Linked DNA regions of Alligator mississippiensis. The protein of the gene in region 1 binds, or shares a complex with, the protein of each later gene. Links are inferred from orthologs where the notes say so. Each region holds a gene or a part of one and is shown in the gene's direction. Other genes may lie near its edges. The genes, in order: PRPF4, PPIH, LSM6 and TXNL4A.

The links.
Region 2: the proteins of PRPF4 (region 1) and PPIH are in contact, whole or in part, in a crystal structure (PDB 1MZW), measured with the Homo sapiens proteins. The link is inferred for Alligator mississippiensis from reciprocal best matches to the Homo sapiens genes PRPF4 and PPIH. Residues at the interface, in NP_004688.2 of Homo sapiens: Arg113, Gly116, Glu117, Pro118, Ile119, Thr120, Leu121, Phe122, Gly123, Glu124; in NP_006338.1 of Homo sapiens: Phe14, Arg26, Phe46, Cys47, Thr48, Gly49, Pro57, Ile58, Gly59, Tyr60, Lys61, Gln173, Cys174, Gly175, Glu176, Met177.
Region 3: PRPF4 (region 1) and LSM6 share a complex: the UniProt entries of both Homo sapiens proteins name them as parts of the precatalytic spliceosome. The link is inferred for Alligator mississippiensis from reciprocal best matches to the Homo sapiens genes PRPF4 and LSM6.
Region 4: PRPF4 (region 1) and TXNL4A share a complex: the UniProt entries of both Homo sapiens proteins name them as parts of the precatalytic spliceosome. The link is inferred for Alligator mississippiensis from reciprocal best matches to the Homo sapiens genes PRPF4 and TXNL4A.

What each region holds. Positions count from the first base shown.
Region 1 is NC_081835.1:49,104,118-49,111,204, reverse strand, and holds the start of PRPF4 (U4/U6 small nuclear ribonucleoprotein Prp4), read left to right. Parts: upstream 1-4,082; 5' UTR 4,083-4,092; coding exon 4,093-4,209; intron 4,210-5,297; coding exon 5,298-5,475; intron 5,476-5,805; coding exon 5,806-5,992; intron 5,993-6,227; coding exon 6,228-6,315; intron 6,316-7,087. Other genes in the region: anaphase-promoting complex subunit CDC26, read right to left, coding at 3,877-3,957. UniProt on the Homo sapiens protein: Plays a role in pre-mRNA splicing as component of the U4/U6-U5 tri-snRNP complex that is involved in spliceosome assembly, and as component of the precatalytic spliceosome (spliceosome B complex).
Region 2 is NC_081836.1:1,379,690-1,386,693, forward strand, and holds the start of PPIH (peptidyl-prolyl cis-trans isomerase H), read left to right. Parts: upstream 1-3,992; 5' UTR 3,993-4,033; coding exon 4,034-4,099; intron 4,100-4,188; coding exon 4,189-4,253; intron 4,254-4,928; coding exon 4,929-4,952; intron 4,953-5,210; coding exon 5,211-5,255; intron 5,256-5,683; coding exon 5,684-5,726; intron 5,727-6,496; coding exon 6,497-6,589; intron 6,590-6,950; coding exon 6,951-7,004. Other genes in the region: CCDC30 (coiled-coil domain-containing protein 30), read left to right, coding at 78-214, 641-755, 2,426-2,493, 3,084-3,318. UniProt on the Homo sapiens protein: PPIase that catalyzes the cis-trans isomerization of proline imidic peptide bonds in oligopeptides and may therefore assist protein folding. Participates in pre-mRNA splicing.
Region 3 is NC_081825.1:100,697,852-100,705,078, reverse strand, and holds the start of LSM6 (U6 snRNA-associated Sm-like protein LSm6), read left to right. Parts: upstream 1-4,226; 5' UTR 4,227-4,334; intron 4,335-7,227. UniProt on the Homo sapiens protein: Plays a role in pre-mRNA splicing as component of the U4/U6-U5 tri-snRNP complex that is involved in spliceosome assembly, and as component of the precatalytic spliceosome (spliceosome B complex).
Region 4 is NC_081826.1:113,462,539-113,470,034, reverse strand, and holds the start of TXNL4A (thioredoxin-like protein 4A), read left to right. Parts: upstream 1-4,492; 5' UTR 4,493-4,593; intron 4,594-4,713; 5' UTR 4,714-4,737; coding exon 4,738-4,890; intron 4,891-7,496. Other genes in the region: probable 2-ketogluconate reductase, read right to left, coding at 276-447, 1,019-1,403, 4,284-4,301. UniProt on the Homo sapiens protein: Plays a role in pre-mRNA splicing as component of the U5 snRNP and U4/U6-U5 tri-snRNP complexes that are involved in spliceosome assembly, and as component of the precatalytic spliceosome (spliceosome B complex).

The sequences.
Region 1 (7,087 bases):
AGTGGGGTGGAGTTTTAAACTTTTATAGTATTGACTAGGGCGTCTGTTGTTGCATCTTATTTTGTGGGTTGTTTATCTGCTGCTGTATACCACTCTGAGCATTTCTAGACAGAATATACATCTAAACAACAGGTTTTCAATGCATGTCATGTGCATGTCACCACAGCTCTGCTGATTTTAGAACTAAATTGAGATTCACAATCACTCCTTACCAACCCCCCCAAAATAGACAGAATGGCTCTGCATCCACCCCACTCCCTTAGGAGAAGCCTGAGCAGCCAGGCAGGTTTCGTACCGTGCCTTGTGCGTGACATTATTGCTTCCAGAGGGAGCAGACTCCAATGTCTGTATTCTTATTGAGCATTCAGGGCCCCGTAGGTATGAAATTAGGTACTGTCAAGCCAGGTCTCTCTGTTTCTTTCTACTGCTAAATTAAAGTAAGGGTAAAGAAGAAGTTATCTCAATGTAGCACCCAAAGTAGACAGATAAGAACATAAGAACTGCCATTTACTGAACCAGACCATAGGTCTGCCAAAGCCCACATTTCCTTTGTGTGTCCAATAGGCCTGTGTCACACTGATCTACAAGACCAGGAAGAAGGCTCGGGCTGGGGGGAAGCCGGGCAAGTGTGGAGCTGTCTTCCTTTTGCTCTTCTGCTAGTGTCTCCAGGCAGAATATCACCGATCGGTGTCTACAGGCTCCCTCGGCTCGTTCAGGGGGCAGTGGGCACTGGCTGGTGCACACTGCTCCAGTGTCCCCTTCTGGCTCCTTTGTTATGAACCTGCGACCTCTCTCCCTCTCCTGCTTTTATCACAGAATCATAGAAAATTATGGTTGGAAGGGACCTCAAGAGGTCATCTAGTCCAACCCCTTGCTCAAAGCAGGCCCATCCCTATCTATATTATCCCTGCCAAGGCTTTGTCTAACCAAGGATGGAGAGGCCACAACCCCTCTGGATAACCTGTTCCAGTATTTTATTACCCTCCCAGTGAGAAAGTTTTTCCTAGTATCTAACCTAAACTTCCCTTGCTGCCCTTTGCTTTATCATCTGCCACCACTGAGAACAGTCTAGTTCAGGAGTGGGCAATGATTTTGGCTGGAGGGCCACTTAATGACTTCTGCTGAGCTGTCAAGGGTTGCACACCTAAAATCTTTTAGAATATATAATTTTAACAAATTATAAATAAAAAACAAAATTATACTAAAAATCAAATATCTAAAGCATATTTTAATTTTATTTAAAAAATATTTTTTGTCTTCGTTTATGTTTTTTGAGTAGCATATATAGAGGCAACTGCATAATAGCTCAAAATACAGTAGAGGTGAATCAATACATTGGTCTGATATTGGATCGGCACCAATATCAAGAAAATTGTCTATATCGGAAATCAGCCTTTTGTGGGTAATAAATGGCCCTTGTATGCGCGCAGCCATAGCACAACACATAGGCAGTGAGGAACACAGCCCCGGGCAGTTGCAGCTGGTAAGTCTCTTGTAGTGGAAGGGGAGTGGAGACCGGGGCAGATCAAGGCCCCTCTGGTGAGGGAGGGAGTGAGACTGGGGAAGATGCTTCCCAGCCTGGGGGCAGGGTGGGGAGAAGGGGGAGGGTATGGCACAGAGTCACAGCTGGGGGGGGAGGCAGGGAGGGGCGGGGCACGGGCATGGGAAGGGGGGAGTGGCTCCTGCCCTGCACACTGCTCATCCGGGAGCCGCTCATCCGGTGGCTCCAGCTGCTGCTCCCGTCACTCGTCCAGGAGGGCATGGGGGGGTGTGCCCCCTTATCTGTGCAGAGAAGGGTGGGCCAGGGCTGGGCCAGGCTGCATTCAGGGTGGGCAGTAGCACTGGGAGGGGGCTATGGCGGGGACTACAGCAAATTTCGGGGTGGCTGCAGCCCCTCCAGCCCCCTCCCACCGCCACCACCACCCACAGCCCAGTCCACACCCCTGCTGGGAAGAGCCCAGTGCTGTACCCTGCCCCTCCTTGCCCCTCAAGGCACACGCCCCCACCCCTGTGTCCTCCAGGGGTGCGCGCAGCAGTGGGAGCTGCCCCCACCAGATGACCTGCAGCTCCATCCTGTGCCCCACCCCACCCCGCCCCAGCTGGGCAGTGCCTGCCCCACCCCCACTCCCTCCCTCACTGCAGGGGCCTTCATCTGCACCCCCACTTGCCTTCCCCTCCCCCACCCCTTCCACCACAACAGACTTACCAGCTGCACACAGCTGTTTTGGAAATCAAAGTGGTATTTGCTAATATGTCTTCTTAAAAATTGGCTATCAGTATCAGCCCCAAAAATCTCTATCAGTGCACCCCTAAAATACAGTCTTACTCTAGTATATTGTGGGGGGTAGGGAGGCAGTGTGTGTGTATGTGGCAGAGGGCAGGGGGGTGTGAGGAGCTGCCTAGTTGCTAGGTCCTGGGAGCTGGGCAAAGGTGGGGGGCTAGGGGCAGGTGCAGCAGAGCTCAGCCAGGTGGTGCAGATGCAGGTGTGGTCAGCTACTCCCAACCCCACACCCAAGCCGCAGATGCCCCTGCGGTGCTCCACATGGGGCTGAGCCCTGCCTGGGGCAGTCCCATCTGCACCTGCTGGCTCCAGCCAGCATGCACAGCTTCCCCAACATGCACAGCTTCCCGGCAGGGCTGCAGCTGTTTAGGTATTGCTTGGTCTCCCCCACACCTCCAGCAGCTCCTCCTCCTTCTCCTGCCATATGCGCCGGGAGAGGAGAGTGGTGGGGAAGAGCTGCAGCCAGGAGGCTCCTGCCCCAGTGCACCTTCCACCCACTCTGCCTGCCCAGTGTGATGAACAGACATGAGCAGCCACCTCTGGGTGGCCGAGTGGACAGAAGATGGCTGGGAGCTGGAGGTCAGCATGCTGGGGAAGGAGCTGCCTGGCTGCAGAGTCCCTCCAGCCTGGAGTGGTGCAGCAGGGGCAGGAGGAGGAACCACTGGAGGTGTGGGAGCAGCCCCGCCAGGAAACTGTGCGCTGGCTGGGGCCGTTGGCAGATGTAGGCTGCCCTGGGCAGGAGAACAAGTCGAGCCAGGCTCCATGTGGAGCACTGCAGGGGCAGCCACAGGCTGGATCCAATCAACTGGCTGGCCGGCAGTTTGCCCACCCTGGTCAAGTTCCATCCTCTTTGTGATCATCCTGCCAGTAGCTGAAGGCTGCTATTAAATCCTCTCTCAATCTTCCCTTCTCCAGACGAAAATAAGGCCAGTGCCCTCAGCCTTTCCATAAGTCATGTCCCAGCCCCTGAGCCATTGTTGCTGCCCTCTGCTGGACTCTCTCCAATTTGTCCACATCCTTTCTATAGTTGGGGGGGGGGGGGGGGGGGGGGGCAAAACTGGACACAGTGCTCCAGATGTGGCCTCACCAGTGCCAAACAGAGAAGAATAATCACTTCCCTTGACCTGCTGGCAACACACCTACCAGTGCAGCCCAGTATGCCATTAGCCTTCTTCAGAACAAGGGCACTCTGCTGGCTCATATCCAGCTTACTGTCCACTGTCCACTATTATCCATAGTCCACTGTAACGCCCAGGTCCTTTTCTGCAGAGCTGCTACCCAGCCAGTCACCCCCGGCCTGTCCCGGTGCACGGGATTGCTCCGTCTTAAGTGCAGGACTTTGCACTTGTCCTTGTTGAACCCCATGAGATTCCTCTGGGCCCAGTCCTCCGGGTTGTCTCGGTCCCTCTGAACCCCAGCCCTGCACTCCAGTGTACCCACTACTCCCCCCGCTTGGTGTCATCCGCAGACTTGTCTTTCTCGCCTCCGCACGGCGGCGGAGCTCCCCGGGACGCCCCGCGCACGGCAGGCGGCCCCGGCCGCGGCGGCCCCTGGGACGGGAGCGCCGAGTGCGGCCGGGTCTCGACGCGCCTCACCTCGAGGTCCTTCCTGATGCTCTCGAACTCCTCGATGTCGTCTAGCTTCAGCTCCAGGCGCGTCGGCTTCCGCCGCAGCATCGCGAGCGCCACCGGCCCCGCCGCCTCTCGCCGGCAACCGGACAGCCCGGCCCCGACCGCTGCCGCAAACCTGCCCACTTCCGGCCGGCGCCTCCCGGCATACCCTGCGCTCACTTCCGGCCGGCGCCTCCCGGCATGCCCCGCGCGGCAACCCGGAACCAGTTGGGTGAAGACAGGCCCGTAGTGCGGAGAGTCCCTGCAGCGGCCGGTGTTGCCGTCGCCATGGCGTCCGCGCGGGGCCCTGCGGTGCGGGTGAAGCGGGGCTCGGGGGATCGGGGCGCGGTTGGGGCCGGGCCGGGCTGGGCTATGCGATGCGGGGTCTCTCGTTGCGTGCACCGGGCCCAGAGCGGGGGGAGGGAGTTGGCGTTTCTCCTTGTCCCTGATTGTGGGCGGCGCGGGCCCACCCCGTGAAATCTGCTTCTTGCCCGGGTCCGCCCGGCGCCGGCTCCCCGAGGTCCTGGAAGGGATCTGAATGCCCCCGGCAGGGCCATGGCCCCTGGTCCCTGGGTGAGAATCACCGCAGCGGAGGGGTGCACGGGAGTGCTGCGTAACACCGGTGGTTGTGAACACGTCGATCAGTTGTATCCCTGCAGCAGGTTTTAAGACTCAGGTAGACAAAGGGTTGGCTGGGATGATCCAGTTGAGGGGGGCCCTGCTTCAGGCAGGGGGCTGGACTGGATAAAATCGGAAAACGAGGGTTGGAGGGGACCTCAGGAGGTCACATCTAGTCCAACCCTCTGCTCAAAGCAGGACCATCTCCAACTCTACCGTCCCAGCCAAGGCTTTGTCTACCTGGGTCTTAGAAACCTCTAAGGATGCAGACGACGTCTCTGGGTAACCTGAGGCCTGTTCCAACCCTCGTTTTGTATGACTTTAGACTTAAAGTTGAAACATCCCGTTATAAATTTGGGATCATACCCTGGCAGCATTGCAGTTGCTGGGAAATTTGCTAGTAACTTACAACAGGGTTGGATTTTTGTGCCTTTATTTTTGACTTGCTGCCCAACCTTGTGTTTACTCCCTAAAAGTTGAAGGGATATGTGCTGTTGTTAAGCACAAATTGATATGAGTGCATCGGAAAGCAAGTCTGGGATATATTTTTACACGTTGTAAAGAGGCATAAATAAAGAAATCCCTGCCCGGTTTCCTTAAGCATAATTTGTGTTGAGGAATCCCTTCCCTGTTCAGAGCTAATGTTCTAGGTATAATTTCAGGGTTTCTGGTCTGGGTAGACCAGAAACCCTGAATGATTTGTGCAGCCAAAGCAGTTTGCTGAATTGCTGCTCCCAAGCCGGATACATACTGAACCAGTCTGTTAAAATCTTGCTTTTATTTTGTAGGCAACAAAAACCAAGATCTCAGACGAGAGTGATGCTCCCCCAGTCAAGAGACCTCATATCTTCTATGGAAGTTTGGAGGAGAAGGAAAGGGAGCGTATTGCCAAAGGGGAGCTGGGGCTGCTAGGAAAAGATGGGATGAAAGCTGCAATTCAGGCTGGCAACATTAACATTAGCAGTGGTAAGAACACACTCTGTATAGTGCTTTCAGCTTCTTTTCTTGCTTCTGGCTTAGAGATATTTAAAAAGACATTTTTGTTGGGGTTCAGCTCAGGGCTTTAGGACAGCCCCTGATCTGCTGCTGTGTTTTAATACAGAAATTTTGGCTGCAGAGACTACAAGCCATCCAGTATTCCATCATGATTTGAATGGGGGTGGGAAGTCCATTGCCAGCACTGACCGTCCCTACCCTAAATGGGCAAAAATATTTATAGCTTTTAATGGTTATAGTTGTCTAAGTCTCTGGTGCAGTTGTCATTGCTTCAATTTGATGGCTTTGTTTCTGGCATAGGTGAGGTCTTCGATCTTGAAGACCATATGAGTGAGCGCCAGGCAGAAGTGTTGGCTGAATTTGAGCGCAGGAAGCGTGCTAGGCAAATCAATGTTTCCACCGATGACTCTGAAGTCAAGGCCTGCTTACGAGCTCTTGGGGAGCCCATCACACTCTTTGGAGAAGGGCCTGCAGAAAGAAGAGAAAGGTGCTGTGTCTTGTCCTTTGTGTGGCCTGCCCTGTAACCAAATCATAAATCTCTTGTAAAACTCCTTGAGCTGTTGAGTGCACTGAATGCTGTTGCCCACTGTTCCTTCTCAGTGATATAACAGCAACTGATCAATTTCTTCTTCATTCACTCTTTACATCTGTCAGACATGGTCAAGAATGCCTGAGAAGTTATTGACTGAATCTTATTTAATGCTTGGTGTGTTTCATTTCAGATTGAGAAATATCCTCTCGGTGGTTGGCACTGATGCCTTAAAAAAAACGAAGAAAGATGACGACAAGTCTAAGAAAGCCAAAGAAGAGGTAAACATCTCTCCCATTCTTGGATTCTGCAGGTTATTAATGTAGAGAGAAGGAGACCATTTTATAGAAACCTTCAAATTCCTTCATGGACCATCTGTAACATTTCCAGAGCTCTGACATTGATTTTTTGGTATCATTAGACAGCCTGATAGTGTAAGGTGGACTTATCAGTATACGACTTATAGGACAGTGACATCCTAAGGCAGGGGTGGGCAAAATGGTGGATCTGGCTAGTGGTCAGACTTCTTTTCCCAGCAGCCCCTGTCCATGTTGCTACAGCCGTTTTCCATGGCTATCTCAGAAGTGGTGGCACTGTGACAGCGCGGGGCCAGGGTTTCCATGGAGACTGGCCCCAGCAGTGCTGGTAGGGCGCGTGGCAGGGCAGGGAGCTGCTCCGCAGCCAGGGCTGGGATCTTGCAGTAATGACAGTGTGGTCTGGAGCTGGAGCAGAGCCACAATCCATTGCACGTATGCCCCTGCCTGGGACTTGCAGGCAGTGTTCCCTCTAAGGAGCAGCGGTCCATGAGTGTGCCGCCTCGGCCTAGCATGGGACACTTACCAGAGGGGGCTGGGGGCTAGGGCTGGAGGCTGGAGCTGGAAGCCGGGAGCCAGGGGCTGGAGCTGGGGCCCAGGGGCTGGGCCAGAGGCTGGAGCCAGGGGCCAGGGGCTGGGCCAGAGGCCGGAGCCGGGGGCCAGGGGCTGGGGCAGAGGCTGGGGCTGAGGGCCAGGGGCTGGAGTCGGAGCCTGGTGCAGACTCCCTGGCTCCGAGGAA
Region 2 (7,004 bases), on another chromosome or scaffold:
GACTTAGAGATGAAAAGCTGCAGGTAAGAGTTAGGTACTGTTGCTGTTGTTATTTCCTTATGTTTCCTTACACACAGGAACATGCGTTGATCAAGCAGGTCACCACAGAGAATGACCGTTTGCTCCAGGAAAACAGAAAACTCTTACAGCAGGTTAATGAGCAGGAAGAAGTTGGTCGGAACAACAGGCGGATCATTTCCACAATTCAGAGCAGGTGCCGTTACTTATCTCACTTTGCAGAAAGAGCAGTTTTAGCTTAGCAACCTAGACCAGAGTTCAAACCAGGAGGGCTGAAGTTCGTCTCATGGGTCTGTGCTCTGCAATGCTATTGCCCATGTAACTAATGAAACCCTTGTTCTGTGTGTGGAGTAAACCGGGAGTAACACAACCATGGCTCGGGCTAACTAACAGATGTAGTCAAGGCCGCTTCACCTGGAATGGGCTTGGCCCTGGTGGGGCGTGGAACCTGACTTCTGCAGCACGCGTCTTGTGGGGGCAGCAGGCTCAGAGAATTTACCTGAGTCCTTTCTGTGTAGAGAGGCTGAGAGCAAATGCCCCTCTGACAACATCAAGCGGTTAGAAGCCAAGGTTCACGTGCGGGAAGTAAACTGCTCTGTGTGTGTGTGTGTGACCTTCGCAGAGTGCAGTTCCTGGACAAAGAAAACAAGCGACTGCAGGAAAGCACCATACAGCTCTCCAACCAGGTTGGGGGTCTGGAGCGGGCTCTGAGGAACATTCAGACTCATGGCGTAGAGGTAAGATGGATGCGCCGTCTTTTGGTACCTTCTCCCCCATGTAGCTGCATCAGAGCAATTTCCCCCATCAGTCTCCTACCAATATACCCCAGCTTTAAGCTGGAAGGAACTTCACTGGAGTCTTGAGTAACTGTTTTACTATGATTTTCCAGAGTGAGCAGTACCCCTGATTGGGCCCTATCTTCAGTAGGAGTTACTGCATGCTGAGATCTTTACAAAACAAGGCTCACTGCCTCTGGATTTCCTGCTCGGGCTGCTATAGATAACGTGTATTATTAGTGTCTCCATCCCGTGGGGATTGGACTGAGGCCCATCAGCTCATTTCATAAAGGACACCAAATGCATGGTGGGCGGCAGGGATCTGGTTGCTCGAGTAGCTGAATTGGAGCCAGTAGCCTAGATGTGAAGGGCTGTCTCATTCCTGGGATGCTGAGGCAGGCTGTCCCTCCATCTGCTGGGTTATTAGGCCATTTTTTGCAGCGACAAAGGTTATGCTTTTTACCTTTGATCTTTTTTTGTTTTTCAGTTGTTAAAAATATCTGAATGATGGGGAAGGTCTGGGACCAAGAAAACTTTGTAAAAAGTGGGTAATTTTAGATACCTTCACAAGTGAGCCAAAAGTATCAAACGGGTGCCTGGGGACGTCTAAAATGAAGAGTTTATTTGACAAAAAACAACTGTGGATTGATGCAATGTCTGGAATAGTTTGGGCTGAAAAAACCCAGAACAGTTGAGATGGTTTGTTTTAAGAATGACAAAACATTTCAATGTTTTGCTTCAAAATGATCTTTAGAGACCAAATTTAATGCTGTTTTGGATTAACTGAAACGAAAAACTGTTTTGGATCAAACAAAATGTTTTGTTTTAGCCAAAATGGAACCTTTTTCAGGCACTTGTTTCACCTGAAATGGCGTCTCCATTTTCTCAGTGCGACTCCAGAACCGAGTAGTCAGCCATCCCCATAGCTTCGTAGCCAGGCGCTGAACGGCAGGCCCCGGTTTGCCAGGGTACCAGGCACCTCTCAGCGTTCAGAACCTGACAGTCAAGCCACTTATTTAAAACTGGGCTTTGCGATTTGGAAATTGGTGGAACTTGAATGTCCAACACCCATCTGCTCCTTTGGAAAACCTCGTCTAAGTGTCTAAATGTACTTAACTTTAGGTAAATGAATGTGAAGTGATAGCCAGTGTGGGATGGCTAGATTGGGGGAGCAGCAGTGTGGTGCTCCCATCCAGAAAGCAGTGGCTGAACCTGCTCTCGTAGTCTGTACGTTCTCCCAAGGGCACCGAGGGCTGTCTAGACTGTCACTTTTTAGGGCTTCCAGTTTGAAATAGTTCCCTAACTGGAGCAGTGCTAGTTGATGGAAATATTTCCATCAACGTCACTTGCTCATGGGACTCTTGTTCTGGGTTTTGTTTTTCCGGTCCTTTAGGAACTAGCCACTCCCTTTCATTCACAAACACCCAGCCAACCCTCTGCACACAAACTTCCTCCGTGCTGTCTCTTTCCTTGGAATTTTCTCCCGTGCATCTGAGATCCCAAGTTTCCCGTCTCTAAATACTGTGTGAAAATATCCCTTTCCTCTCTGGTTTGTTTGCAACGTGTTTATTGCCTTGAGCATGCCCTCCCTGCCTTTTATCAGTTGATTATTGTTCTGCTTCTTTTCCTAGGACTTGAGGAGCGTTGGCTTCTCTGAATGCCAGCTACTGAGTAAAATGTTGCCACTTCCAAACACGAGGTAGGTCCCGTGAGTAAAAAGGCACCAGGTCTGCTTACTAATAGCAGGTCCTGTCAGCACTGGGGAATAGGGAAGCCATGGATTCCTGTTTTCAAAACACAAGTTTCACCCTTTATTTTATTCCCTCGTGTCTTTTGGTCGTGCGGTAGGACGGAGGGGTGGAGCTAACCAGCATCTACTAGCTGCTGCCTCCTTTAGTTTGCAAGTCCCGTGGGGCTTTCTGTGACTGTGCACGGCCCCGAGCTCGATCTTTGACTGGGCCTGCAAGTGCTGCAGCAGCACAGCCGAGCACTAGTAGTTACTGCTGCAGCGAGGGAGCACGACAGACCTCACAGTTAGAGTCTCAGACCTTGCCAACAGGAGGGGGCAGTTAACGGGTCTGAATGGGCATTAGGCTCCTCGGGAGGAAGGCAGCTGAGTGCCCGTGAGGATCTGGGGTTTGGCCTGTCTCTACGTTAGACCTTTCCCGCCCCCGGGGGTAGCAGCACGAAGACCATGTGGCACGCGGGTGTGGCGGCGGTGGGGCCCCGCGAGGACGCAGCTGGAGACGCTGTTTGCAGAGCGAACACGGGGCGGGAATTCTTTTGCAGCTTCTCAGCGGCGGGGCTGTCGGACTCGCTCAGCGTGCTGAGAGCCATTCAAGAAGCCAAGTCCGACGAAGGCGCTGAAAGCCAAAAGTCCTCGTCTTCCTTATCGCCTTCTCAGCCCTCCGAGATGGGCTACCTGAACGTGGCGTCCCCCGGAGACCCCGCCAGCCTGCAGGCGCAGGAGGAGAGGCCGGGTTTCTGCTGCGACGATGTCTATGGCCCCCCGGCAAGGAGCTGAGCTCTCCCTTGCCGCGGGGCACAAGGAGGGGAGGAGCATTCGCCAAATAACGTATTACGTGGATTTTGTGACACCTCTCAACTAAATTATTCGGTGACTGGTTTTCAGCTGTTTGCCCAGCTCAACGTCTTGTCCCAAAGCTGTCGGATTTATTTTTTTTTTTAATCATAAAGTAATTCATTAAAGTGTTATTTTAAAAAATGTTTCTTCTCCGCTTGACGCTGGTTGTCTGGAGGTCCAGGGCGCTTCTAGGGGGTTTCTGAAGCAGAGGCGAGCAGCGGCTCCAGGCTCCTTCCGCACCGGGCCCGGACCCGCGCAGGGCTGCGGGGCGCCCGGCAGGCAGCACGGGTGGGCGGCCGGCCCCAGGCCTCGCTCCCGGCCTCTGGTGCCGCGGTGGCAGCCGCCCCTGCCCCTCGGGCGGCCCGGCAGCCCCAGGAAGGGCCGGGCCGGGCCGGCATGGAGAGCGGCTGCTGGCGGGTCGGGCACGAGCCCGTTGGAGCGCCTGGTGGCCCCGCAGGCAGCTCGGCACCGCCGTCTCCTGGCGGGCCCCGAACCCGCCCCGCCTTCCCCTCCCGCCCTCGCAGCCCGCCGCCTGTCGCAGCACGTGGCGCTGGCCCCGCCCACGGAGGCGGCCGCTCCCGCGCATGCTCCGCAGGGCCGGGGACTTCCGGGCGGAAGTCGCCGCCGTGTTTCCGGTTCCGGGCCGCGGGGCGTCATGTCGGTGCTGGCCTCCAACCCCAACAACCCGGTCGTCTTCTTCGATGTCACCATCGGCGGGCAGGTGCGGGCGGGGCGGCGCGGGGCGCAGGAGGGGGGCGGGGCGGGTGCGGGCGGCGCTGATGCCTCGCCTCTCCCCTCCCCGCCCCGCAGGAGGTGGGCCGCATGAAGATCGAGCTGTTCGCCGACGTGATACCCAAGACGGCCGAGAACTTCAGGTGCGGCGGGGCGGGGCGGGACCGCAGCGCGCCACCCCCCCTCCCCCCCTCCCGCGTTTCCCTGCGGGGGCCCGAGCGCCGGTCCCCGGGCGGTGGCGACCCCGCGGCGGTGCTTGGGGGAGACGTGGCGGCCCCGAGCGCGGTGCTGGGCCCGCGGTGCCCGGTGAGCCAGGCTGGTCGCTGGGTCCGTCCGGGCCCGGCCCAGGCCGCTCTCCGCAGCCAGCAGAGACGTGCGCGTGGCTGGCCGCGTTTCTCGGGGTCGCTCCGAGCCTCCGCGGGCCCGTCCCAAGCGTGCCTCGCGGGAGCGGCAGCTGAATGCCTCGGTCTCCCGTCGGCCTGTCTGACGAGAGGGCGCCCGCCGCTCCCTTCTCGACGGGCGTCACAGCCCCCCCTTCCCACTGCGGGTCTCCAGGGGGTGATGCCCAAATCCACGTTTTTGGCTCTTCCCGTTCTCGGCATCCAACATCTGATCCAGGCTGATGCCGAGAAACAGCCCTTGGGGAGGAAGGGTCGCAGTTGCTGCTGCTCCTGTCAGCAGTGTCACTTGCTGCTCGGAAGGGGAGTCCCCTCGTCCCTCTTCAGTAAAGCAGTCAGAGCAGCGGTGATTGGGTTTGGATTCAAATTCCTCTTTCAGGCGACTCATGTGCTGCGCGCTCTCTTTTCCCCTCTTTCCAGGCAGTTCTGCACGGGTGAATTCAGGTACGTGGGGTCAGCGCACCGCTCCTTTGAAGCGGCATATTGAGGTGTGTCGTGACCAGAAAGCAGAGAAGTCCGATGGTGTTTGTTCCCACCCCCGTGCTGCCTGAATGGCTGTTGCTGCCAGGTGCTGTAGGGCCGTCCCGGGCGCGGGGGGGCCCGTCGGTCCGGCACGCGGGCTCCGGGGTTCTAGCCCGACTGGAAGTGTCGAGCTGCGACGAGCGGCACCTTGCAGTGCTGTGTCCTTGTCTTTTGCTGTAGGAAAGATGGTGTCCCTATAGGTTACAAGGGGAGCACTTTCCACCGGTAAGTCAATTTCCTCTTGTTCAAAACAGCGCGGTGACCTAGACGCAGCCTGGTGCCCGGGTTTGAAAGCAGTCCCTAAAGTAGGAGGCATCCTGTAGTCATCGAGGGATAGGAGATCTGAAGAGTGTTTTCTTTCTAAAGTCTCTGCCCTGCATCTATAGTTTGGGCGACTCTGCCTCTGTGGGCCACTCTTGTACTTGCCGGATAAAAAGTATGTTCTTCTCGGTGCTTATCACCCAGGGCACAGGCAGCGCTGTCCAGCCTTTGTCCAAAGTCAGAGGTCATCCCATGTCGAGTCCATCACCTAGTCACTAGGTGCATTTTATTGTGGCATGGGCTGTTTCTCTGTCGTTTCTGAGATACTAAACTTTGTGGGAAGATGTTTCACAGAGAAGCAGTCGTTTACTTTGTTCTTAATTACTTTTCAGGGTGATAAAGGATTTCATGATCCAGGGAGGCGACTTTGTAAATGTAGGTATTATGAGTTTGTCCGTTTCCTTTCCTTAAAGATGCAGAGTGGTGTTCTTCCCATGGGGCAGTATTTAACCGTTTAACTTATTTTTGGAACCTGTTGCTTAGTGAGCGGGGATATGTAAATGAAAGACGAGGAAAGAGCGAGAGGGCATTGACGGGGGGGAAGGAGGTGGCTGGAGCCCAGAAGCCCTTTCAGCAAAGAGGGGGAATACCTGGTTAGACCCATGGAATATACTCTGGCGATGCCAAAGCCCCCCATGCCCCCACTCTGCAGCATCTCTGCCAGCTTCAGCCTCTGACAGGCGCCTCCCTCACTTGTCATCCCTCATTCTTCTAACCCGAGAGCCATCCTTGTCTTTCCTACTTGCCTTCTGTTTTCGGTGGAACGTGCACCCTGCGCAGCCCGAACTCATCCGTAACTTCATCTGGCGGGTCTTGGAGGTCTGGAATCTACCTGCTTCCCTCGCGCCGTCTCTGCGCTTGTCCTCTGGTTTCACCTGGCCTGGGGGTCGGTCTGTGACTAACTGACGTGAGGAAGGGGGAGGAGGATCAAATGCAGGATTAGGGTGGAGCGCTGACTTCTGGTTTCCAGGCTCAACAATGTTCAGATGTTTTCATTTCTAGTGTTCTTCTTAACACTGTTTTTTTCTAAATGAAAATACAGCCTCAACCTTAATTTTGGTTAACAAAGTGCTTTTCTGTTGGAATTATTTTAAAAACATGCTTTTCCTGAGATGGGATTGATAATTGCCTCCCTCCTCACACAGGGAGATGGCACTGGGGTGGCTAGTATATACCGAGGTCCCTTTGCAGATGAAAACTTCAAACTCAAACACTCTGCTCCTGGACTCTTGTCTATGGTAAGTGTAAGGCGGACAAGGTAGTAAGACTAGAAAGGTTTCTGCATCTTCCACCCATCATTTCTGAGATTTACCAGTTATTTCCTGGCTCTCAGCTCCATGGTTTGTTTTATAGAAACATCGCCAGCAGCTTAAAATTGCATAGTGGCAGTACAGAGACTGACGTGCTGGACCAGTGGTTTATTTAGTGGAGTATCTAGGTACTAAGCCGGCCCTTTGGAGGTGGATGTTAATTCCTGTGATAAACATTTCTCGTGCAGGCCAGCTGGGATGATAGCACTCTTGTTTGAAGTATCCTGGCTCCTCCAGGCTCGAGATGTTCAGTTCACTAACATATGCATGTGTTTGCATTTTAAATTAGGCAAACAGTGGTCCAAGTACAAATGGGTGTCAGTTCTTCATCACATGCTCCAAA
Region 3 (7,227 bases), on another chromosome or scaffold:
AATGCAGTATAAAAATCTCAGATTTAAGCGGTAAGAGTTTTTTCCTATGAGCCTGAGTAGCTTTCAGCAAATCAGGAAATAATGCACATTAAAATTCTGACAATTATTTTTTCCCCTCCTATACCTTTCAAATTTGTGCATAATTCTCTTTCTCTTAATGGGAAAATTGAGCAGTACTGTTCCTTTGCTGTTGAAGAAGATGACAAGAGAACAATTCTGGGAGATTTTTTTTCAGAAGTTTGCTGTTTAATTTAAATACCTTGGATATCTGATGAGGAAGAATCTTTGGGTCTCTTCTTAAAACCCTGTATAGCTCAGGTTGAAAAGCGGGATGCTTCATATCTCAGTTTTGTTTCAGAACAACTTAGAGCATGCTAGATTCTGTTGCCCAACATATTGTGGAAAAATTCAAAGGGAACTGCAGCAGATGGATTCAGTACAGGCACAGCTGTGGCTCTGCTTTAGAAGAATGACAGAGATTAAGGGTTATGCATACCTGGGGAAAAACTGTATTTTGGGACAAGTTTAACTGGGAGAAGATGCTAAACAAGTAGCAGCCCCTCCCATCCAGTGATAATGATCCAAGACCCCTAACTGGTGGAGAGGCCTCCTACTGGCATGCCATGCCTTTATAGAGTAGGGATGTTCAACCTCCAGCCTGAAAGGCCATGTATGTCATTTGGTCCGTGGGTGCTGCCATGGGTCCAAAAAATTTGGCAGTTGGGGAGTGGTGGCAGTGTTAATTGCAGCTTCCTTGCTGCCAGATTTCCAGACCCATGGGGAGCTCTGTGCCAGATGACATACCTTGTGTACTAAATTATGCTGGTGTGTGGGGTCAAGCCAGTTTGCAGCCAGATCTGGAACATGGGGTCCGGTCACTATGCAGCAGGATCAGACCGGTATCAGACACTATGCAGCAGGATCAGACTGGTCAGTAGCCAGATCTGGTGCATGGGGTCAAGATGGTGAGTGGCTGGATCTGGTGTCCCAGATTGGGACATGTGTGGTGTCAGGCCAGTATACCAGATGGTACCCACAGACCAACTCCATGCATCGGGTCCAGCCCATAGACTGGTCCCTCACCACTCCCCAGTCTCTCACCACTCCCCTGGCCTGAGGGGCTTAAAGATTAAGCACCACTGTTATAGAAGTACTACTGTTATATTATTTCATAATAACAAGATCACTGTTACAGATGTTGTGTGGGCAGTCATGGCATGACAACTAAGAATGGGATGCTGAATAGACAGAAAGAATTAACTAGACTAGATGGCACTAAACCTAGAGTAGACACCTCCAGAAAAGCTTGAAAAGCATGCTGTAGACTCAGTAAGACGGGGTGGGCAAAATATGGCCCTTGGACAGGATCCAACCTACTGAGGGATTTTTTTCTGGCCTGTGGCAGGTCCCTTGGTTCCACCCAGCCCAGGGGCCAGCCTGGGCTGTGGTGCTTATGCCCAGTCCTGCCACCTCTGGGCACGCAGCAGGGCTATGTCCAGGGCTGAGACCAGGATCTTGGGGTGCTGACAGCATGGGGCTGGGGCCTGCACACCCCTTGCCTGTGGAACCCATGCCCGGGACGCAGGGCAGTGAGAGCAGTGGATCGTGGCTTTACCCTGGCCCCATGCTGTCAATGCCCCACAATGTGCCCTGTGATCCCAGTTTCACCTGCCTGTTTCACTCCTGGACACTGCTCCCTGCTCGCTCACGGACCCATCCCATCCACCCTGCCATGTGCAGAGCAAAGCCACATAAGGAGTTTTGGTGAGATGTTGCACAGGCAGGGGAGTGCTGACCCAGCTCACAACAGCTCACCAAAACTCCCAATATGGCCTGTGGGCCCAAATAACTGCACACCCCTGCAATAAAAGGAGCTTGAACGGCTGCAACTTCTGCTTTGAAAACAAAAGAGTACATTCCACTGCTATCAATCAAGCATCTTTCATAAGCATGGCACCCACACAACACATAATAAATAGAAATAAAATATTTGTACAAATACAGTTCATCTTAAGCACCGTTAGGCTAATGGGTGAACAGTGCATGAGGGAGATGTTCTAATATCAGCTGTAAGCAGGTATATGAACCAAACATGAGCATGGCTGGAAGGCATTCACATCACACCACCTGCAATGTTACCTTTCCTCTGGCATTCCAGCACCTCAGGTATGACCAGCTATAGTAAAAAAAGCAAGACAAAGAAGTCAGTGGTTTGGAAAGTTGACCATCATTTAAAAATATTTACAGCCTCTGAAAAGAGAAGCATGGGCCAGGATGCACATTCTGCAGGGATCTAAAATTAACAGTGTTGCAAGAAAGCACCAGCAAATTGAATGGGAGGACACCCTTCCTTACTGGCTCACAGCCCCATGTTAGGAAGGGCTGATTTACCATCCTCTTCTAGCAGAAGTCTGCCCGTGGAGAGGTGGTTGCAAACATGCCCCAGCACACATAGCTCAGGGGCAGATCCGAGGGAGTGCACTCACACCCCACTTTGATTCCTGCTCTACACAAAGTTTAAAATGAACTGCCTGGCAGTAGCAGCAGCATTTCTAGTCAGGCATTGCTCAGGGAGTCAATTGACTCGATAGCTCAGTATCATCCCACCTGGTTCCATCTAAATTCTTCATTCCACAGGTGTTAATGGCTTCTTTCCATGGGTCTTGATGCTCCACCAAAAACGCTATCCTTTGTTCTGCCATTCTGCTGTCTGTTCCCTGCTCCTGATACTGAAGCTCCTAATTCTCAGCTTTGCAGACTGTTTTTAACTCATTCCTATGAAGTTAGGTTTGCTTTTGCTTCATTCTTAAACTGAGTAACACAGCCCTAGGCCTGTAGTGTCTACATGAAGCTTCTAATTTCTTTTTAACTGAAGAAAGATAAATGCTGTTATATGTGATGATGCACCTCACCGTCCCCATGCCCCCTTTCCAAATTCCACGTCTGCATACACTTCACAGCACAAAGAGAAGAGGGAGCTTTAGGGGCAGAACGTGCGACTTTAACCTTGGACTCTAATCTGAGGCCTTCTGTATTAAACCAGCAGCTGACTATGACTAAGGTGACTGCTGGCATCCACGTCTTAGCAGCAGGAGCAGGCAGAGAGGGAGGCTGAGGTCCTCAACCTTTTTAGACTCATTAGCCTTTGGGAAATGCCAGCTCTTCTGTATCTCATCCAGCACACTACATGCCCTGATGGAAAATATGTAAGAGAAACCAAGAAATAACTGTGCACCAGAATGAACACACACCAGAAATCTATGAGAGACAGAAATACCCAAGCACCTGTGGGTGCACACTTCTCACAACACACCCACTCTCTCTCCAGTCTCTCACTTCTCATCCTCAAAGATAATGTACAAAACACCTTTCACAGACGAGCCTATGAACTTCACTTCTTCAATGTACTGGATACAAAAAATCATGGACTAAACAGACATTAGATTTACAGTACATTATAATCTGCCTGACCTTCAATAACCCCAGGTAACCTCTCTACATTTTACCAGCTACATTATCACCAGGTCAATAATCCCCCACCCCTACACCTGCCTCACACCTCTTGTCCCCCATGGCCTCTGATCCTCGCTGCCATTGCATTTGCATTTTTGCAGGCCTGCATTTTACACGTTGGCTTCTGTTCCATCCAGGAGAGCACGAAACATCCACAGACTCTTCCTGTGCCTGAAGAAGGGTGCTTGTGCCCAAAAGCTTGCAAAGAACAATTTCCCTAACTATTTAGCTGGTCTAATAAAAGATATCATTTATTGAAAAAGCCTTGTGTGCCTATGTCCTTAAGCTAACACGGCTACAACACCCCCCCAGCTCTTCGTTTTCGCTCTTTATTTAAGGACAGGAGAGTAGCAGGGCAGGGTTTCTGCTGCACAACCACAGCCAGGGCTTCCTAGGGGCCATCCCGGGGCTCAACCTGTGAAGCAGCTTGGACAGGATCCCAGGTACCACTGGGCCAAGACACCCTGGCTGAGCACCCCTGGACTAAGAAGACTTGCTGGGCTGGGCTGGGCTCGGCTTGGCTGAGCCGCCGTGCACGGAGCCCAAGGCAGCAAAGCAGCGGCCTCAGACCCTTAAAAAGGGCACTGGAGGGTGGGTGCGGAAGCTTTGCAATGGGCAGATCCCATTGGGGCGGGGGCGGGACCCTGCCGAGCGCAGAGCAGCGCAGCGGCTTCACGTGCTGGCCCCGCCCCAAGTCCCCAGCAGAACGCGTTCTTGTCCAAGCAGGGAGTTCTGGTCCCGGCAGCTCGCCGTAGCAAGGCGTTGATTGGCTGTTCGTGCGCCCGGCAGCTTTCCTAGCCAGCGGGTGGAGCAGCGCGCGGGTGAGCGAGCTAGGGCGCGCGGGGCAGGGGCAGGGGCCGGGCCGCTGCCGGCCAACGGCAGTGAACTGCCTGGCGCCGTAGCCTGGGCGCGGGGCGCCTCAGGCTGGGAGCGGTGGCTCGATGCTGTGGCGCGGTGCTGTGGCGCGCAGGCCGAGCTTGCGCATGCGCATGCCGCGGCGGCGGCAGGGTCGGCTGCTGCGCGCGCACCCCGCTGGGTCATGACCTGCCCTGCCCTGCCCTGCCCTGCCCTCCCTTGCGCGGGCGCTGACGGGAACGGGTGCGCGTGTTTGTGCATGCGTCTGCATGCATGTGTGTTGTGTGTGTGCATGCGCCTATGCTTTACATCTGTGCCGCACAGCACAACACGAGGATCAGGCAGTTTTCGTCCAGTTTTATTTTAGGAAGGTGCATTTCGGTCCCCCCCCCCCCACTGCAGCGTCCGACAGCAGATCCACGTCCCGCTCCCCAGAGCTGCCCCTTTCTTCAGTCTCCTGCTGCCCCTTCCGTCTCCTGGGACAGCCGCTGATAACTAACCCCTGCTCCTTGCTTTCCCCTGCCAGCTGCCTGGGGAGCTGCACCTCAGTGTCCACTTGGATCATCTCACATGTGTCATGGAGGGGCTCTGGCTGTTGCTGGCTCTGTTTTGCTAATTTTTCTCCCCCGTACTGGTCCGGAGGTGCCCAGCATTAGGTGCACAGTGGCCTCTTTGAGACCTGTGCAGGCAGTTTGCGACTGGCTCATGTCCAGCTTTGTGTTTACTGCCAGCCTTGGGTTTCTTCTAGGATTTTGGCTTTCCCCTCAGCTCTTTCCTCTTCTAATAACTCTTCCTTTAGTGCAGTGTTTCTCAGCCTGGGCCCTGCGTCACCCTGGAGTGCCTTGAGGCCCTTTTAAGGGTGCCGTAGAGTGTTAGCACTGTTTGGTGTGCAGGCAGCGTTCATACGATAAACACGGAGATTTCAAATGGAAACCCAGTGTCAAAGCCGTTCTGCCCTGTTGTGGTCTTGCAGAGGTCTTTGCAGCAGAAGAATTGCTCTGTTATTTTTCTCTGGTGAAAAAATAGTGAGATCTAAGAGCTGGCATTTTCCCAGGGGTGCCTCGGGTCTATCAAGGGGTGCCTCAAGCCTAAAAAGGTTGAGAACCACTGTCCAAGCCTGTTTAGTAAGGGTTTATTAAGGACCCCCCAAAAAAAATCTGTTGATGAAAAAACTGATTGAAAGGTTTAGCTGGTGTTGTCAAGTCACACCTGAGCTTTATCTTTTATTGCCTTTCATCTTCTTGTGATGACTTCTTTCATGTGCCCCTGGGGGGTCACAAGAAAGAATGACCATAAGCTAGCAGAGAGCAGATTTAGACTGGACATTTAGGAAGAACTTCTTCACAGTTAGAGTGGCCAAAATCTGGAATGGGCTCCCAAGGGAAGTGGTGCTATCCCCTACCCTGGGGGTCTTCAGGAGGAGGTTAGATAGGCATCTGGCTGGAGTGATCTGAAACCAGCACTCTTTCCTGCCTATGCAGGGGGTCGGACTCGATGACCTATTGAGGTCCCTTCCGACCCTAACATCTATGAATCTGTGTTTATTTTCACATTGCAGAGTAATATGTTAATAAGTTGGTAGGGAATTTCATTTTTCAGCAGCTTGTCACAGACTATGTATTTTACAAACTAGTCTCTGGTGTTCACCGGAACCCTTGTCAGTAGTCTGTCTAGAGTTGGCTGTCTTTACTAATATCCATTTTATTACTATCAGTAGTAGAAAGCTTCGAGCATGTAAAGCAGCTAGGTATGAGCACATGGCAGCTGACTCTGTTATAGGGTGTCTGTAGATGTGCTGGGAAGCTGCTCCAACATGCTGAAATTACAGACTCGATTAATTGAGTCTGATGGAGTTTGCCAATTAGTGTGCGCCATCCAGCCTCCACCTCTTGTGTACTGGTGTCCCCACACTTCAAAATGGCAGCAGGGGCACTTTAGACAAACTTTTGTTAACTGAGAGCTGTTCTAATTGAAGCCCTAATTAAAGCCCTTGGAGAGCTGCTCTAATTAAAGCACCCTGGAGCACGTGTAAAAATGCCAGTAGTTTTCAACTACTGAAGAGGAAGAGAAATGAGGCATCTACAGAGCTGCCATCCACTAGTACCTGCATCTGGTCCATGGGAAAAGGGAGTTAAGTTGCAGGGGAGAAAGTGTCCAGAGAAGAGAGAAGAGGACTAATCATATGTTGAAAAACAGAGGAGGAGAGTTAAAGTCTCTCAGATTTTTTCTGGTTTGAAGGTAGAAGATTGTTTGTAAGTAAATTCCAAAATACTCCTTCAGATTTCCAAGTAAGCGTTGTCTTGTCCTCCCCACCCCCTGCAGAACACTGACTTGGTGGGACTTTTCTATCACTAAAATTTACCAAGCGTTTGGAAACTAGCCATTGATTTTAGAGTTGTCATCTTTCAGATTTTTGCAGTTGTAATTCCTGCAGCCGTTAGAAGATGAGTGAATAATTCCTTGTGACCTCTGTAAGTGCAGAGTTCATAGGAAGGTTCAACAGGAACACTAAGTGGTTATCTTGTTAGTTGGCATCCTTTTATTTCCTTCACCATGTCTCCAGCCTGCTTCCAGAACAGTCTGATTCTGGGACATGTGCATCACATGTAGTGGAATGTTCCCCAAACAACCACACTCCCTCCAACATTTGTCTCTACCATAAAAGCATTAAATTTTGAGTGGCGTGAGAGAGCACTGATATAAGGTTTTAAAATAATTTTCTTTTATTATTGTGTGGGACCATTATTTCAGATGGTCTCCCATTTTTTCAGTACTAATTTCTGATCCAATGGCGTAAGCCCACTTTGCCATAAATTGAGTTTATTCATTTTCTGTAAGGAACAAAACATGGGTAGCCAT
Region 4 (7,496 bases), on another chromosome or scaffold:
CATTTATATGCTTGGTTTCCAAGAGTTTGAGTTTATTATACATTAACTCTTGTGCCTCAGAAGTTTGGCTTTTGCTCAACCTGACATTCTAGGAGGGCATGTTGAAATTTCTGAGCCTGGCAACAAGAGAACTATTTAATTAATTAAGTCAAAGAGAATTTGAGCCTCAACTAGCAAAAACGGGGGAGGGGTTGGAAGAAAATGCTCTATAAATAACATTTTAAATTATCAAAATATCTTAGATTCAGCTCAAGTCAGAATAAATGTGCTTGTACCTTCGGTTCCTGTTGTGATACAGAATTTTCATGTCAAAGGCTTTGGCCCGCTTGGCCACTTTATAGCCAATCCTGCCCATTCCAATGATCCCAAGGGTAGCCCCAGTGACTTCCACTCCCAGCCAGTCAACAGCAAAACGCTCAGTGTCTGGAGAAACTGCAATCTGACAACCTAAAAAAAAAAGTGAATAAATTGAAATAAACCGATTATGAAGGAATTTAAGATGGAAATTAAAAAGAGAAGGAATGTTCACAAAACCATCAAAAGAATGAAGTTCTGGAATAGTTCATAGGAGTAAAGGGGGTGTCAAATATCCAAGTACTTTTAAGATGGAGTTTGACCAGTTTTTTAAAGTGATGTATGAAAGTTGCATACAATAGCAGGGAATAAGGTCTCAGTGGCCCAGGGGATTCCTCCTGATCCTATGTCTCCAATACGTTGATTTTTGCTGAATGAATTCTTCATTGTTTGTAACGTTTTCTTGGATGTTTGCACTTAGGTTAGACAGAGGCCTTAATCTCGTGAACAGTGACTTGTGCTGGAGCAGGTTTGGGTACAAGGTATAAGAGGAAAAAACAGAAAAGCAGCACCACTTGAAAAGCTGAATCCTCAGTGCTTTTCTTCCTAAATAGATTCCTAAAAAGTATTTCAGCCAGGTGAACGATGACAAAGTGAAAAATGGAAAATGCCAAAACAAGCTCAAATGGAAGAAAAACATCAGCAAAGGAATTAAAAAGGTTACCTTCCACTAGTCTTCTGGCAGATGCCAACATCAGGGCCATCCCTGTATCTGCTGTGGAGTCAGATACAGCTTGTGGAGTATTAGTCACTTTCACTCCAAAGCTAGAAATCAGTTTCAAGTCCAGGTGATCCACTCCTACTCCGGAGTTGGCAATCACCTTTAAGTTAGGCAGGCTTTCAAGGAGTCCCCGGTCAATGGTGGGTCTGCGTTCAAATATGAAAATAGATTTGATTTTTTCACTCAGTTCTTTTTTGTTTTCAAGAAATTCCTTCATGGTGATAAGGTGAAAGTTCTTTTTCAGGAGCCCCACATGGTTTTCCAGAACACCTTCTACTCCTCCAACTCCAAGGATCAGAACACCAGGCAGTTCTTGGTCTCCCATGACCTGCCAAAAGGATTAAGAGAAATGTTCCCTTATACATGAGAAATGAACAATTTGCTAGGGAGCAGCTATAGCCACACTTGTAAATTTGCACTTAATGGAAATAAATACTATCCTCAATAACACAATGTGAACCTACTCACAAATTAGCAGTGATCCTTAATTGAAAGATGTGGGATCAGGCTCCACCACTGAAATCTGGCCCTCCTGACTTCAGATCTAGAATCTCTTGGAGGGCATGGCCCTATATAATTTTGATTATCCATGCTTTGCTATCCTTTAGCTTCTCCATATCCAATGTCTCTCACTTCAAAAGCCATCAATCATTTTAGTCTCAAGTTACTTTCATTCCACGCAACTCTCATAGCTCTTCGCTATCACTCTTGAAAATGTATATCAATAATAATCAAGATTCATGAAACAGGGATAGCTAAGAGTTATTTTAAGTTCTCTGCATGAATTGCTTTGTGTGTGTGGGTGGCTGGGTATGTATTTAGGTCTCACGAGCACACACTGGCCGGACCCAGATATTCAGGCACATGCAGTTTGTAGTCTTTGATGACTAAGAAATTTCCTTTAAATCACACGGTTGAAGACCACTTCCTGCTCAGGGGCAATGCGTACGGGGTGCACATGGGTGCGTGTCCACCCCCTGAGCGTGGTGATGCACCCCCTGCAAAAAGACCACCCCCTGCAGGCAGTCACCCCTTGCCACCCCGCCGGTGGCATCTGTGGGCGGTCCACGATCACCCCTGGCTGCCACCGCCGGCAGCACCTGGGGGTGGTCACCAACTCCTGGTCAGTGCTCGCCACCCACCCCCTGCAAGTGCCAGCTGCATCTATGGGAGCTCTGTGCTTACCACCACCGGGCTCCTGCTGCCACCAGCGCAGCTGTGCCCCGCCCAGCTGCTGGGGGCATGCGCCGTTCATGCTCCTGCTCTAACAACCGACCTACTGTTAATTTGATAGTTCTTAATTAATAGACTTAATTTGCCGTTCTTATGGTTCCCTGCATCAAATCGGCTGTTTGTGCATTTAATGTAATGACAGTTTCTGGACTGGCACCATAAGAAAATGAGGTTAGTTCACTAACAAAGTAATCCAGTTAGTACACAGTTCTCAGAGTCCTTGTTTCTCAGCCACATCATCCTACTTAGAGCTGAGTGGCTTGCTACCTGACATGTTTTTGGAACTCAGTGGCAGCCTTGCCCGGTAAAGACCTGCAGCTGGTACAGGTCATGAAGAACAATACCGCTTACATTCCCCAGAAATAACTGATGATCCTTAAAATGAAAAGCAAAACTCTCCGATGTATTACACCATTTGTTCTTAGCCCTCGAGGCTTCCTCATACATGCATACAATACGCGACTGATCCGAATCAGATTCACATCTGTATATGATTTAGAAGAACTTTCTATACAGTCAACAGGAGTAAGAAAAATGATTTGTGCGGAGGCCGGATGTGCAAATAGCTTGCCAAGTTGCGCGCAAACCCACGAGCCCAAGTTGCTTTCCCCCTCCACCTTGCCATGCTTTTACTAAAAAAGATGGGAGCCACCATTTGCCATTACTCTCTGATCTGCGCTTCACGATCCTTTGTTCCAGTGCAACCAGTGCATCAGGTCTCCACGCCAGGCTTGGGGTATTGCTGAATGGGACTGGGTTGCCAAAGGGAGAAACCTCTGACAACCCAGGCCCATTCAACACTACCCCACACAGCTGAAAGCCTGCACTGAGCTTCCCACTGTTGTGCCTAGACTGGGGGCTGCTTGACCCCGGGGTGATGCCCGAGACCCGGCCCCTGGAGCAGCCTCATCAGCCCAGGGCGGGCTGGAAACCTGGTGACCATGGGGAAACGGTGGCTGCCCCCCTGCTGCTGAGAGTCTGGAGCCCGGGGGAACACCACGGGGCTGGCCTGACCCCACATCATACTCTTGCCTGACCCGAGCCACCTCGGGCAGATCCACCTCAGTGTTGCCAGGTGTACAATCATTACCATATCAGAACCATCATTTCAACCCTTGTACAATGTACCATCAATAATAGTAAAAGTGCTCAAAATATACAGTAATTTTGGAGGCAGCAAACTGATGCAGCATACGCAAAACCCACTTCACTCTCAGTCTTACCCGACTTTTGGGTTTGCTACTGGCGCTTTCTTATGCCTCGAAATAAAGAAATGCTTCAACTTGAAGACCCAGTTCTCACCCACTCATTGACTTATAATAAGCAATAAAAAGTAAATAAGGCTCATTTGCATGCTTATTTGGCATATCTATTTTGCATATTTTTTCAGTGTAGACAATTTTTCAGCAAATCCGATCATTTTGAGCTTCTGACAAACCATTTCATATTTAAGACATAGCCACGCTGATCCACCTGCGCCCCCTGCTCCACCCAGATGCGAGACCAGGCAGGGGTGAGGAGGCCCCGCGCCTCGCCCCCTGCCCCCAACCCACCCCGGCGCGCCGACAATTGCGCGCGCCCAGGCCCGTCCGGCTGCTCTGCCGCTCGCCGCGCAAGCGGGGAAGGGCCACGGCCACCCACAGGTAAGCCCGGGCCGCACCACGCCCCCAGCCCACGCACAGCATGGTCGCCCGGCCGCCGTACCGCCCCGGAGTGCAGCAACCCCCACTCCTCCCAGAGCCTGGGGGCGCCCTGATTGCCCGGGGCGCAGCATTTGTTCGTCTGGTGGTATGGCCTGGGCTCCCCCCCACACTCTGGGGGTTGGCATGTTCCAACCTGTGTTTCATTCCCTACTTTCCCCCCACACTCTGGAAGTTGGTATGTTCCAAGCCGTAGTTCTAAACTACCCGACACACACACTCTCTGTCTGGGAGTTGGTATATTCCAAACTGTAGTCCTAATCCATCACACGCACACTGTGGGGTTGGTACATTCCAAGATGTGATTCTACCCCGCTTCGCCTTACACAGTCCGGTGGGCGAAAGGAAGCAGCGAGTCTCCTCCAGCCTCGCAGCCCCTCAGGGCTCAGGCACCGGCCGAGACAGGGCGGAAGCGCTTCTTTGTTGCCTTCACTCCGGGCCCAGAAACGCGCTCGCGTCACTTCCGCTCCACCCTCCTACGTCGACGCCGGGAGTTGGGCTGAGCGGGAGCGTTGTATCTCGGTCCGGTCGCAGGAGTGGGCTTGCTGCGGCGGGGCCGCGTCTTCTCCGCGGTCGGGGGCGGAGGTCAGTGTCCCGGGACAGGGCGGGGCGGGACGTGCTGGAAGGGGCGCGGGGTCTGGCTGAGGTGGGGGAGGGGCGGGCACGCGGGATTTCCCCCCTCATTCGCGACCCTGTGGTCCGCAGGCCTCGCGCAGGTCGGCCGCCGCTATGTCGTACATGCTACCGCACTTGCACAATGGCTGGCAGGTGGACCAGGCCATCCTGTCGGAGGAGGACCGCGTGGTGGTCATCCGCTTCGGCCACGACTGGGATCCCACGTGCATGAAGATGGACGAGGTGTTGTACAGCATCGCCGAGAAGGTGGGTGTGGGCTGGTGCCCGGCAGAGGCCACGCAGCCTCGGGCACTTTGTTGGCCACCAAGTTGTCCGTCTGCGGGATGGTGCATTTCCCGCCCTTGCCCAGCATGTTCTGGCAGGAGGCAGGGGAGAGACATGCCGGACAGATGTGGCGGGGCCAACCTGTGGCACAGGCAGGCTCCGTGTGTGGTAAACAGCAGGTCAGGCAGGGAACAAAAGGCAAAGTGTGGGAGCAAGCAGGGAGCGGAAAGCAGAGCAGCAAATTTGGAAAAAGATTAGAGTCCCACTCGCGAAGGGTGCAGGTCTCATGGCATGCCTACCAAAGCACTTGGCCCCCACTTGGACGGTTTAACTCAAGGGTGTCACATATAGGGCCTGCAGAACTGAGCTGGTCTGCAGCGTCCTGTCATCTGGCCTGTGGTGCTGCCTGCGGGTCTTGGAGTGGACCCACGATTCGTGTGCTGCGTGCGCTGGGTCAGCCCTGCACCCTGCATGCGGCACATGAGGCCAGGGCGAAACGGCATGTGGGGTTGTGCTGGGTACGTGCTTCCTGCAGAGTGCACAACTAGTCTGGGGCTCGTGCTGCATGTAGCACGTGCAGCCAGTCCAGGGCACCCACTGCATGTAGCGCCCATCCTTTGCTCACCCTCATGCTGGTTTCAGCATGCAGGGCTGGTCTGCAAGCCCGGTCTGGCCCATGGATCGGTCCTGCTCCATTCATCCAGCCGGTGGACCAGCCCCTCACCTTTCACCCTGGCTCACAGCGCTTGATGAGTTTGACACCCCTGGACTAACTGAATCAGAGATGTATAAGCTTTCATGAGAGCAAGAGCTCATTTCATCAGATACTAAAAAGGGACATGTTCTTTGACATTCAGTCAAATGGAAACAGTGCGGTTAAATTAAAACATTGATTTCTATTTGTTGTTAATAGATAAGGATTTAATTAGTGGTGCACTAATACATCTGCCCCATCTTGGATCAGCAGCAATATAAGGAAAATTGACAGTATTGGCAATCAACTTTTTTTTGGTTGATGTGGCTGATAATGTTGCCAATAAATGCCCTGTGCGCACACGCAGCTGTGGCACAGCATGCAGGAAGCCAGGAGTGGAGCCTGGTAGCGTGGAGCACAGCTTGGTCTGGCTGGTAAGTCTGTTGTGGGGGAAGGGGTGTGAGGGGGGCCAGACTGAGGCCCCTGCAGTGAGGGCAGGAGTGGGGCTGGGGCAGGGGAAGGCACTGCATAGCTGGGGCACGGCACAGGATGGGGCCTCCAGCAGGTCATCTGGAGGACATGGGGAGGGGGTAGCAGCTCCCGCCCTGCACGCACTGTGGGAGGGTATGGTGGGGCGTGTGTCCCCGGATCTGGGCACAGGGCAAGGGCAGGCAGCCACTGTGGGCCGGGGCCAGGGGCAGCGCCGGACTCTTCCTGGTGGGGGGGATTAGGCCAGGGCTGCATTTAGGGTGGACAGTGGCGGTGCTGGGATCAGGCCTACGGCAAATTTGGGGTGGCTCCAGCTCCTTCTCCCCCTCTAGCTCCCCTCCAATCACTGCTGTAGCCCTCGCCGAACGCAGCTTGGTCCAACCCCCGGGGAAGAGCTCAGCGCTGCCCCAGCCTGCAGCAGCAGCCCACCCGTGGCCTGTGCACAGATCCAGGAGCGCATGCCCCCCTCCCCCGCGTGCACTTGGCAGGAGCTGCCCTCCGTGTGCTTCCCAGACGAGCAGCTCATGGCTCCATCCCTCACCCCACCCCTGCTGTGCAGTGCCTGCCCCAGCCCCGCTCCCTTCCCACCTTCTGTGCCCCCCACAACAAACTTACCAGCTGGATGCTGCTCTCCAAGCTGCTCCACTGCATATCATCAATCAGATCAGTATTGTCCAATATGGCTCATTAAAAATAGGCCATTGGTTTAAGCCCAAAACGTCTCTATCGGTGCACCCCTGGATTTAATAGCTTAATCTGCAAAGAGAAAGAAGCGTGTGTGTAACCAAACTAGTAGTAACATTATAGATAAGTTCATGTTGTCATTATTCCTTTTAAGTGAGAGAATGTAACATTAATACACTAGCAACTTTTTAATTGGAATAGTTTAAAATATTGACACACTTTGGCATGCCTTTAAATAAACACTTCCAGCAATTTAAAAGCCCAGGAGTAGGCTGTGCTTCACTTAGCATTTGCTAATGGACTGTATTTAGACTTTGTAAAACTTGTTGAAATCTGTGCATGTTGTGCTAATCTGTGAAGCTTTTCCAAATGGAAAAACAACACCCTATGAACACAAGTAAGTCTCCTGTTAAGCAGTTTAGATACTGAAAAGAAATTAAGCATTGTTTATGTAAATAGGTGATTAACTGTACAGCCTCTCTTACTTGTACCACTATGCAGCAGCACAGGACATGTTAAGCAGAACTGTCAGCAAACTCAAATAAAACACAGGTAAAAAGAACCAGAACAAAAAGGAATATTATCTGAATTTGTGTCAGATGGCAGTCAGTAATTATTTTCAGAAATGATTGTGCCTTTTTCTACAGAATAACCATATGTGAAGGTGTTTCTGTATTAGTCATTGCACAGTGTTCTTAGGGGCACTCTGGTAAGGCTACTG